3 linked regions of the Oryza sativa Japonica Group genome follow. Each later gene encodes a partner of the first gene's protein in a complex. Links are inferred from orthologs where the notes say so. Each region holds a gene or a part of one and is shown on either strand. Other genes may lie near its edges.

The links. Proteins that work in one complex are often made in the same cells at the same time.
Region 2: mediator of RNA polymerase II transcription subunit 25 (region 1) and mediator of RNA polymerase II transcription subunit 15a share a complex: the UniProt entries of both Arabidopsis thaliana proteins name them as parts of the mediator complex. The link is inferred for Oryza sativa Japonica Group from reciprocal best matches to the Arabidopsis thaliana genes PFT1 and NRB4.
Region 3: mediator of RNA polymerase II transcription subunit 25 (region 1) and mediator of RNA polymerase II transcription subunit 30 share a complex: the UniProt entries of both Arabidopsis thaliana proteins name them as parts of the mediator complex. The link is inferred for Oryza sativa Japonica Group from reciprocal best matches to the Arabidopsis thaliana genes PFT1 and AT5G63480.

The regions. Positions count from the first base shown.
Region 1 is NC_089043.1:12,248,735-12,252,246, forward strand, and holds part of mediator of RNA polymerase II transcription subunit 25, read left to right. Parts: intron 1-691; coding exon 692-901; intron 902-1,007; coding exon 1,008-1,073; intron 1,074-1,984; coding exon 1,985-2,192; intron 2,193-3,386; coding exon 3,387-3,442; intron 3,443-3,512. UniProt on the Arabidopsis thaliana protein: Component of the Mediator complex, a coactivator involved in the regulated transcription of nearly all RNA polymerase II-dependent genes.
Region 2 is NC_089042.1:28,450,877-28,454,930, reverse strand, and holds the start of mediator of RNA polymerase II transcription subunit 15a, read left to right. Parts: upstream 1-1,251; 5' UTR 1,252-1,382; coding exon 1,383-1,540; intron 1,541-2,332; coding exon 2,333-2,444; intron 2,445-3,310; coding exon 3,311-3,419; intron 3,420-4,054. UniProt on the Arabidopsis thaliana protein: Component of the Mediator complex, a coactivator involved in the regulated transcription of nearly all RNA polymerase II-dependent genes.
Region 3 is NC_089038.1:19,469,311-19,473,606, reverse strand, and holds the start of mediator of RNA polymerase II transcription subunit 30, read left to right. Parts: upstream 1-1,493; 5' UTR 1,494-1,563; coding exon 1,564-1,980; intron 1,981-2,409; coding exon 2,410-2,487; intron 2,488-4,163; coding exon 4,164-4,262; 3' UTR 4,263-4,296. UniProt on the Arabidopsis thaliana protein: Component of the Mediator complex, a coactivator involved in the regulated transcription of nearly all RNA polymerase II-dependent genes.

The DNA.
Region 1 (3,512 bases):
CAGTATTCTCTAGAATCTGTCCTTTAATGCCCTTCTGCACAACATATGATTCATGTGAGAAAATTCTAAGGTGGTTTGCACATCCACTTATCAGCTATTGTCTCATAAAAAATGTCTTGATCTGGATATCAGCTACAGATAGCCTTACCTTAGTAAATAGAGTGTATAACTGTAATCACCATTTCATTAGGTTAATTTTTGTAAGGAAGATTTTCATTAGATCAACCCTATTAGGAAACTGGATGTCTGGGCCAGTACCCAGAATAAGCAGAGTGAAACTAGTATGATCAGAAGTTTAAATTCTATGAATGTACCTATATTAGTATGTTAATTTTCCTATGGTACTGAGTCTTCAAAAATCAAAATTTCAGTCTTCATCCCTACTATTATAAAGAGGGAATCGTCCTCCTCCACCTCCACATAAAAGCCTCTTTCCTCCATAAAAACTGTCCACCCTAAAAAAAACTGTTTACTAATAAAGCCAACCATTGTATAAACACCGAACAGCTCACTGGGCCCAAATCCTCCCACTAAACTTAATAAAAAAAACCATTGCAATGCATGACAGCATGAGCCTATAACTAGTTGAAAAATACTTGGGTCTTTGAATTTGATATCATTTTATTTCTTGAGTTCTCTATGAATTAAAGTATTTATTGCCTTTATGATTTTATTTCCTGTGTGCAACTAGATACTCCAAGGCAGTTCTAGTAACAGTCAGAATCATCAAAGCCATGAAGTACAAAAACATTGCATACTTGTTGCAGCAAGTAATCCTTATCCACTGCCTACGCCTGTCTACCGCCCCCTTGTTCAAAGTAGCGATCACAAGGAGAACAATGATGGAGCAAAAGAATCTTGTCTTGCTGATGCTGAGACTGTTGCAAAATCATTTGCTCAGGTCCTACACAAATACTGATATCTAGCATATTGCTGATTACCTGTGTTTCAATGAAGTGGTCAGCAGTCATTGTTGGTTCTAATTAATTTTACTTATATTGATGTAGTGCTCCGTTTCATTGTCGGTGGTATCTCCTAAACAGCTTCCAACTCTGAAAGCAATATACAATGCGGTAATTTCGTTATTTTGTTTTGCTAAATTCTGTAAGCCACAAGCCATCTTTAATAATCTTCTCCTGGTATTTTACTTGTTCATTGATGGTATGATAGTTGCATCTTGATTTACAGAGGGTTGAAAAACTCACTTAAGAATATATCTTTTAAAATAAATTATAAGCATGAACTTGCAGAACTGGCCGCTCCACTATTACATATGTTCTTGTACTTGTACACAGTACTAAACTTCATATTTTCATTACCATTGAAATAAAAAGAGTAAATTTTATCAAACACCACCTATTATGGTCCAAGTTGCACAAAACCACAGGGATTTTGGCACATGACACATAACCCCATGTATTATGGCCCTAAGGTTTAACAAGACCACACCGTTAACCAATTTTACATACTCCTATATCAAAGTTTTAAAAGTTTTAGTTACATTCATGTAACATTTATATGATGGATAAAAAACTCATAAATTTGTGATGTGATTTTATAAATGATCAATAGTGTGGTTGTGTGAAACTTTATAGCTATAATACCTGGTGGTTAAGTGTCACGTGCCAAAACCCATGTGGTTTTGTGCAACTTAGACCACAACACCTAAAGGTTAAGTGAAATTTACTCAAATAAAAATGAACTCAGTTTGGATTGTACTGTCATTGTATCTTATTTGTGGATAAGAAAAATATCCATTTATTTCATTTTTTTAATTAGTTAGTATCCTGCCTGAACTTGCTAGCTAGTCTTTGTATGGTTTACAGACTATAAATCTATGAATTGGCATCCTTATCTATCATTAGTTTAATACAAGCATTTTTTAACTTACATGATATAAATTTTATCTTCTGCAAGACCTTCGACAGTTTGTACTGATGAATAATTTGCACCAGGTGCTGATGTTGTCCATGTTTTGTTGCAGGCAAAGAGGAATCCTCGAGCGGCTGACCCATCAGTGGATCATGCAAAAAATCCACATTTTCTTGTTTTGTTGTCTGACAATTTTTTGGAGGCTCGAACTGCTCTAAGTCGCCCTTTACCTGGCAACTTGGTCACAAATCACCCCATTACAAAAATGGATACAGCTGCAACATCTGTGCCAGTACCAACTTCAAATGGCAACCCCTCAGGTTGAACAAATGCTAACATTTGGCTTAGTCTTGCCATGGTATTTAGCCTTTAGTTCTGTTCCTCTTTTGGACGAAAGGTTGTGACGTTGTTACGATGTTTGTGAATATGTAGGTGCTTACACATAGTCTAGCGTGAGTCTGCTTTAACAAATGCTTGACACAGCTTTGTTAAGGAAAAAAATGTTAGGCTAAAGTGAAATAAACCATTGCCATAATTACTCCATGGGCTGAAGCAACATAGGTTAACAATTATCGTTGCATATATTGGTACGCCTGACTATTTTAATAGCAGGAAGGATTCTGGCAATGCCCTTATGCCATCCATTTTTGGCCCGAAAAAAGCATATCATTGAGTTTTCAAAGCCTTAGAGGAATAAAATGTATTGTGAGCTCTCCTCTATTATGAACACGATGTGCTTGTGCATCTGACATTACATGGGACTACAATATAATTTCCTATAGTTTATCTCCAATTTGTCAAGTACAGATGCCTTGAGCTGGAGATGAAGAAAAATGGATGTACTGAATACACAAACGTGAAAACCTGCCTCCTAAAAGCTTGTACCATTGTGTTCTATTTGTCCCCTTCCCATCTGGGTGGTTTTTCAATTGTAGTGCCAAGAAAACATAGATTATTCTATAATGATTGTGTCTTCATGGTTATCATTGGCATGGGGTCACAACTAATTGTTTGGACTCTGAGTGATAATGCTTTCAATGGCATGGTGTCTTCGGATTGATGAATTCTATATGGATAACAAGTTTTGTTTTTCAGCATCTTAATCAAAATTAACACTGAGGATACAAATATATCGCAATTCCTGTTTTTATACACAGCAATGTGGTTTTAAAGGTATTCGTGGATATACATAATTTGTTGTTTTTGTGAGTGTTGATGAAGCCCCTTCATTGTTTGTTTCATAAATAAAATTTTACAGTTTAATGTTATGAAATGCCAAATTCTTATTGTTTGTATTGTACATTGCTATGTACTAATATATGCCAGATTGCCCATCTACCTAATTAAAGTGGAACATATTTCAAGTCTAGCCAATTGCTGGTTTTATTTGCATGATCCAGTTGTGATAAATCTGGAATTGCCTTATATAGAAATTTGTTTTTGGCTTCTGGTTATATCCGTATCATTACTATCTTCCATACTGAACATGACTAACTGTTATAAGTATTTTTCAGTTAATGGACCTATGCTTACCCGCCAACCAAATGGTGTTGTTGCAAATATTAAAACGGTAAAGCTTTGAACAACATACTCTGTGACTTACCATTTTGCTGTATGTTTTCTCATTGTGAAAACAATCA
Region 2 (4,054 bases), on another chromosome or scaffold:
GGACGGTATGGTGTATATTGTATAATTGGTCATTTGGCTATAGGTCAACTCGTGTAATAGGACTGTACATTTATAATTGGGACTGTATGACTGGACGTTGTATTTGTGGTGGGACGGTGTGACTTGGACAGTGCTTTGGAAATGGGATTTGTGGTATGTATAGATATTCCGAGAATGCACGAGGGCAGAATAAATGGATTGCAACATGAGACTTTGTTTGGATGGATGCACCGTATTGCCAAATAGGAGTTTAGGGTTAACGCACGATAAATGAATTTATCGGTTGTTGTAGGATTATTTTGAGAGTGTTCGTACAAACGAACGACGGTAGCGAAGAAAGGATTTTAGGGACAACGCGTAGCATACAAATCCAATCGTCGCGGTAGGAATAGAATCGGAGATAATTGAATTGACGCATGATAAATAAATACGCCGATCGATTGTAGATAGTCAAGGGAGAGTGTTGGGTTTGAATTGATGGAGTGATTTTAAATAATCGCTGGGCGAGAGTTTGAGAGAGCAACAATATCGCGATAGGACAAAAAAGTTTTGGGTCATTGATTTATTTAGCATCGAAGCACATAACAAATTAGACCGCGAAGGTAAGAGAAGGTAAGGATGGAAAAAGAAAGGTATAGGAAAGGGTGTCCTTTCTAGAGATAGGGTTTAATCAAAATCTATGGCACAAATTCTAAACACACACAAATAAACAATAAATCCTAACATGCAAACTAGGCTATACCTGAGGGAAAATTAGACGTTGTGTGAGAAGGTCATATCTTTTGAAAATAGCCTATTATGAATTATATTTTGCAAATAGGGTTTTTAATAAATACTTTACTAATATATATTATTTTGTAATTAATTTTCCGAAGGCAAATTCCTTTTCAAAGGTTCGTATAAAATAGCCATAGCTATGTTTCTTTATTAAAAGGGTATTTATTTCAATATACTACCCATAGAGGGTTTTATCCAAAACGGTAACATGTATTTATGTGTAGCTTTATTTACAAAATAATTATGCTGAAGGGGTTCTAATAGAGAAGGGTTTTTATATATAGTTGGCATTTGCAAATGTTGAAATATTTCATAAATTTATTATTATATTTTATTAGTATAAAAAAGTTAGGGTTAACGCCATGCTACCGTATGCAAGGGGAAAGGAAACGCAATCGGAGTATGCTGTAAGTACAAGGGGGCAAATGCGAAATAAATACTAGGTCGGTCCAACCCCGAGGTTTCTTCTCCTCCGAGGCGAGGCGAGACTCCGATTCTAGCCTACCTCGCTCGCTCGCTCGCTCGCTCCGTCTTGTGGTCGCCGCCGCCACGAAGACCAAACCCTCGCAAATTGCAATCGAAGAAGAAGAAGAAGAAGAGGAGCCATGGATGGCGGCGGCGGCGGCAACTGGAGGCCCACCCAGGGGGCCGACCCCGCCGCCTCTGGGGGCATCGATCCCAACGCCCCGGCCCCCGCCCTCGCCGGCGGCGACTGGCGCTCCCAGCTCCAGTCGGAGGCCCGCAACAGGATCGTCAACAAGATGTAGGGCTTTCCCCCTCTCCCCCCACCCACTTCCCTTCCCTTCCCTTCCCCCAATTTTTCTTCTCTTCATCAACTATATAAAATAAAATAGAAGATCCATACATCGCATCATCCTTTTGTGCCTGTGGTCGATTCAATATGATGCAACTCTGATCCGATCTACTCCTACGTAGCTAGTTGTAATCTCATCATAATCTCCCCTTCCGTGCCCCTGTGTTTCTGTTATTTATTTATTATTATTTACTTTGTTAGTTAGGTCCAACTCCAATCCCTCCCCAACTATTTTCAGATTCTTATTAGCTTTGACATTCTTGTCTAGTTCACCTAGTCTACATATCCAATTGAACTCAATTTACATTTCATCAGACACAGTTATTACAGTATAGAGGTTTGCTTGGAAGATGCACCCCTTCTGTTCAAATGGATCTTCCCTTTGAGGGTCAGGGAACTATGATGGCAAGGCAAACTGTTTGTTGGAGAAACCGCCTACCTCTCTCGTTTATTTTACTTCGTTATGTTAGATCATGTATGTGCCACTCTCGCTCCGCGAGTCCTTTGTAGCTGTTGTCCACTTTTGGTCATAGCCACTATATTTGAGCGCGTAACTTGGGCTATGCCTACTCATTTGTCCAACATCTTGAATGGTAGACTGACACATTATGCCTTAGGTGACATTTCTCTTTTTTTTTTTGCACAAAACATCTCAAAAGCACTCTCTCTCTCTCTCTCTCTCTCTCTCGTTCTGCATGGGATATATTCGTCATTTACTTGCTTGTTGCAATCTGCGTACAGAATGGACACTCTGAAGAAGCATCTACCAGTATCAGTGCCTGAGGGGTTGAATGAACTTCAAAAGATAGCAGTGCGATTTGAAGAGAAAATCTATACTGCAGCCACCAGCCAGGTACACTTAGCCTCTTGCTAACTCATCGGGTTGATCCAATCTTTCAGTTGTGGGGCTCAAGCATGGCATTTGGGATCTTAGTAGAAGAAATCGATCGTCCAATGTTTGCAAATATGTCTGTTGATTTTGAAGTTTGTTAGAGTTTCGCCGTGAAGTATCCACATTTTCTTTTGAACCGATTGTAATATTTCGCACTTCCACCTAAATCAGATTATCCAAGGCTGCTGAAGCTTTTCCCCTTCCATTATCGGGGGAAAATCTCCTTTGCGCCTTGGATACAGGGACTAAGACTGATTCAGTCCTATGCTAGAGGTGTTGATGTCCCCACATTATTTTCATTGATAACATATCTCAATAGTAAATTAGTATTAATGAATTATAGAACTAAACAATATTTTTACCATGAGACTGGTTTCTCTCATTGGCCATGTTAAAAGTACAGGAGTTGTACCTTGAGTTCTGTAAGCCCATCATTCCATCTGTTCATGCTTGTATAAATCACCTGTAAAATATTCCCTTTATCCCAGATGAAACATCAAACAATGGTTTACTCCAGTCCTTCCTTTTGTGTTAGCGAGTATGTCATCATATATCCCACTTCATTTTGGTAAACATTTTTGTAGGAGCTTCTTTGGCTGGGTATAGGGATTCATAATCTCCAAATTCCAATTGTGTTCTCCTGTTCATACTTCATCAGGCTTATTCATGCCAAAGTAGTTTGCTGTATAGATAAGAATTTGTATAATTTAATTGATTGTATAAAAAAACGAAGCATATGTTTCAATTGTGCTAACCACCAGGACTTAGGGTGGCAAGTTATTTATTACAAAGCCAAATCTTACCATTGTATTCTTTTGTATCACCAGTCTGATTACTTGCGGAAGATTTCTCTAAAAATGCTCTCTATGGAGACAAAGACTCAACAGAATCCTGGAAACGCCCAAGTGATTCAAAACCAAAATCCCCCTGGCTCAGGTATCATATGAAGTATATTCAATATCCGATTCTGAAATACTGGAGTAATAGTAAGATATTCGCTGGTACCATATTTTGTTCACCGTAAAAGTCCTTGTATATATTTTTCATGATGTAACTATATTGCATGTGTGTTTACAAGCCCCATTTCTGAGAGGAAACCATCCAATGGAAGCTCTGCCACACTGGGTACAACAGTGCTCTCTCGTTTTAGCTTGTATCGGATAATGCTCAAGCAAGTAAATTAAGGCGAGATGCCTGTCAGTCGAAACCTCCAAACTTGTTGATTACTCGAACCTAATTAAGTAATTGCTAATCTTGATAGCAAACACACCATTTGGATGCTGGCCACGAATCCTTGCATGGTCATATTCAAAGCTTTTGGGCACCAACATCAAAACAGACGACCCCTTCAATCTGCTTGTTCTAGTAGAGGCTAGATCAGCCATGGCTTCCAAAGTAGAAAAGCAAAGCAAGGCTCACACCATCACGTCTGCTGCCAGCAGCCCAAAGACCAAAGATACACATAGCTTTCTAGCACTCATTCTCTCTCTTTTTAATCAAAGATTAGTATCATAGTCTAGCCCATTGGCAATACACAATCACTTCATCGATATAACCTCTCGCACTGGATT
Region 3 (4,296 bases), on another chromosome or scaffold:
TTCGCTGGCGTGGCTTGTTGACCTGATCTAACCGACTGAATTAGCATGTGGGGCCTAGATGTCAGCGTCCCCTCCTCCCTCTTTTACTTTTATCTTCTTTCTTCCCTATCCTTTCCCTACATGGTGATGAGCTCTAGTTGGGAAGGCGGTCGGTAGAACAAGGGAAGACGATAGGGATGCCACTGAGCATCTGACGAAGGTGACTCTTCCCAATTCCCATTCCACCCCCTTCCTGGGATCAGGAGAGGACACCGACCACCGCTCTTCGGTACGGTGGAGCAAACGAAGTGTCGTCTAAGAGGTGGCTAGAGACGGGCGGGAGACGTTGGACTCCAGCAATCGAGGACACACATGTCGACATTTCCTATCTCTGGAGAAGCTTCATCAAGATCGAGCTCGCTTGCCTCATTGGATTTGCCTCGTTGCCCTCACCAAGAACGGTAGCGGAACAAGGTTGCCACGCCCACCAAGGATAGGGGGCATGTGCTCGCCATTGCCTACAGCTTGAGTCTGTCATTAAGGTCAACGACATGGACGACGTGCTCCAGCGAGCCATCGAGGATGACCTCCCCCTCGGTGGCAATGATGACTACAAGAGCTCGTCGACATCTACCCCTTGTCCTCCGACGGGTGGTGGCTATCCCTTGGCCATGCAGAGATATGCACGTGACCCTCCTCTCTCTCTCCCTCACTATTGCCATGTATGGCTCCACAACATATAAAGGAGAAGGACTCTTAGATCTCGATGACAGCGAGGTCAATCACCATCCTTGTCCATTGCTAGGCCTTATTAACCGAGGCGTTGATAGAGGTGAAGGTGGGAAAAGGACGTCGGATTAGAGGAGGCGACAGAGAGAAGGGGAAGTGGCTTGAGGCTCGGATCTGTGAAGGAGAAACACTGATGGGACCCGGCTTTGTCCAGATCAGTGAGGGGCCTCGGTGTGGCAACCGTTGGAGCCCACAATGAAGAGGACATCTACGGCAGCACTGGGCCTCTCCGACTCTCCATCACCGCTGTGGCCCTTCCCTCCTTTGCTCCACAAGGTTGCCAACAGAACCAAGCTTAGTTGGTTGTGTCGGTGGTGGCTTTGTCGTCTAAGTCACTGACACTATTCATGCTTGAGCTCGTCACCGCGTGGAGAAAGGAGAGGGAAGAAAAGAAAAAACAAAAGCATGAGGAGAAAGAGAAGGGGACGACATGTGGGTCCCACATGCTGACTTAATCGGTTAGACCAGTTCAATGAGCCACGTTAACGAAAACCACCCTCAAAATAACTAAAAAGAGTTTTTTTATTCACCGGTGTTAATAGCCGAGGGTTCGATATACACGGTTTGCGATTAAGGGAGAACGAATCAGATTGGACCTATAGTCGAGGGAGACAAATTGGACTTATTCCGCTCAAATACTAGGGCCCTGATAAGGCCAGGCCTGGGCTTCGAGCTTCGGCCCAAAATCAACATATCCTTTGGGCTTTTGGACTATGTTGGGCTCTGAAGCTAAGCTTAGTTCACTTCACAGCCAGCGCCGACGAGAGGAGGAGCAGATCGGCTAGGGTTCCGGCGATGGCCTCCTCGGCGGCGGCGCGGCGGCGGCAGGAGATGGCGGCGGAGGGGCAGCGCCACCTGGAGGAGACCATCGCCGCCGCGTTCCAGATCCTCTCCTCCATGAACGACGAGCTCTGCAACCCCACGCTCTGGTCCTCCTCCTCCGCCGCCGCCGCCGCGGCGGGCGGCGCCGGCGGACTCCAGCACCACGGCAACAACCACCACCACCACCACCAGCACCACCACCACCACGGCGGTCTCCCTCCGCCGCCGCCGCCGCTGCACTCCGCGGACTCCGACGCCGCCGACGCCGCCGGGGGAGGGCCCGGGGGCGCGCCGGGCTCCGGCGGGTCGCTCGACGAGGCCAGGCACCGGTACAAGGTCGCCATGGCGGCGCTCCGCACGTCCATCGCCGCCGTGTCGTCCTGTGCTCAGGTCAGCACACGAATTTACCCGACATTGCATGCTCCCGTAGTATGTATGCAACCACGAAATGCGTGTTTCTAGTGATCGTCTAGTGGAAATTGTGAAACGTATTGCACTCTTTGTTGATATCAAGTTAGGTGCTTATACATAGGTAAGGGAGCCAAATAATTTTTGCAAAAGAAAATTTCTTATTATTGATACCAATGTAAGGGAATGTAAGGGATGTTGTGATGTAGGTTCGGACTACATGGATGTGGACTATATATATGTTTCAATCAACATGAGCTTTTAGTGTTCAATGTTCATGAGACAAAAATAGTAGTTTTATATGATTCTATTTTTAGCAGTAAGTGTAATCCTGATGTGCAAAATATGGTGCTATGGAGAAACCTCATAACAGTTTACTTCTTTGTAATGATGTTGTGGTTTTCTTCGTAGGAGATGGGATCGACAGAACACAAAGCTGATCAAGCTGAGATTGAGAGATTGGAAGAACATGCATCTGCTTTGAGAAAGGTACTATCTTGGGAATGTTCTAGCAATATAATCAATATCATTTTGCTGTATTCAGAATTTTTCCCTGAACCAGTTGGTAACTGGTGCTTATTTAGCCATGTCAATCCCAAATATTTCCCAAACAACCTGTTTTGAACATAATGTGTGTGTGTGTGTGTGTGTGTATATATATATATATATATATATATATATATATATATATATATATATATATATATATATATATATATATATATATATATATATATATATATATATATATATATATATATATATATATATATATATATATATATATATATATATATGTTCCTTTTATGCTTCAATCATTTTAATTCAAAAAGTCCTGAGAAGAGTGTAATCCCCAATTTTTACCTGAAACCATTTTAGATAGCCAGGATCTAGTTTGGCAAGCTGTGATACTGTGTTGCTTGTAGTGTTTTGGATAGTCATGTTCATTCTGTTGAACTCGTCAAAAAAGCGTTCCATCTTGATCTTTCCTGGCAATATTCATGCTTGTTAAGTTGTTATCTTATCATTGTTTTTTCTGCACTGGATACTGCATGTCATTATTGTTTGCATACTTGGATTTGCCTGCTAGTTTAGAACTTACTCCCTCCGTCCCAAAATAAATAAACATAGTATGGAATGTGACACACCCTAATACTAGGAATCTGGATAGGGGTCTGTTACTAGGTTTGTTATTTTGGGACAGAGGGAGTAAGTTTTTGCAAATCCACCTTTGATGCTAATTGGATTCTGGACTATTTAGCAAATCCTTTTCATCCTTTGGAGGGCTGTTGGCTGTAATGGCCTTGTAAGTCTCAACTACTCCTTATCTATGCTAGATCATTATAGCATAAATACAGATTATTCTCCTTGATGTGTATAAATGTGTATAGAAAAATGGATTTGTGGCTTATTCAGTTCCATTTGTATGATTTATTGAGATCAGTGATTTTCATGTACTCCTATGTTTGAAGTGTAGCAAACCATAGTTATTAAGACCGGACCGGTGATCGAACTGTTAGGGTACTCGGTTCACTGGTTTATTGGTCGGACCAGTCAAACCGCCGGTTTAAAGCGGTTCAAATAGATGTGTGTTAGAATACTAGAACAACATGTGACATAGCCGGCTGAGACTCTCCGTGGAAGCAAGGAGGTCTTGGTTCGATCTTCAGTTCAGCAGGTTTTTTCCTATTTTCTCTAACTCCACGTGACACCCTCCAGCAGTCGAACCACCTTCGGTTTTTGTCTGGTTCTGCAGAAAACCGCCCGGTTCAATGGGTTTTTGCCGGTCTGTTTGCTCAACGATCTTTTAGCTGGACTGGACCAGCCAACGCCCTGGTTCCCTTTTTTTCTGATCGGACCACTGGTCTGGTCTAGTTCTAATAACTATGTAGCAAACAGTGTTCTCTAATGCCTCGATTACATAGTTTGTTCCTAAAAAGTTCAAAGCATTTCATTTTAAACATACACTGGTCAGTACAATCTCAATTAGCTGATCCCATGTGTCCTAGTTCAGATTTCTATATATGCCCGTGGTATCATGGTCTGTGGAAGTTTTGAGTCCTCACGCTTTTGACATATATAATACATTTTTTGTTTCAACCTAGTAATGTGGCATACTGTTCTCTGGTACCGTAAACCAGTCTAATACAGGATGTTTACTGCAGGAAATTGAAAGCAAAAACAAGCATGTAAAGCTCCTTATCGACCAACTCCATGATTTAATATCGGACATATCAATGTGGCAGAGTCCTTGCTCAGTGTGAAAACTCATCGGCATTTATCCTTTAGGAATCCAAA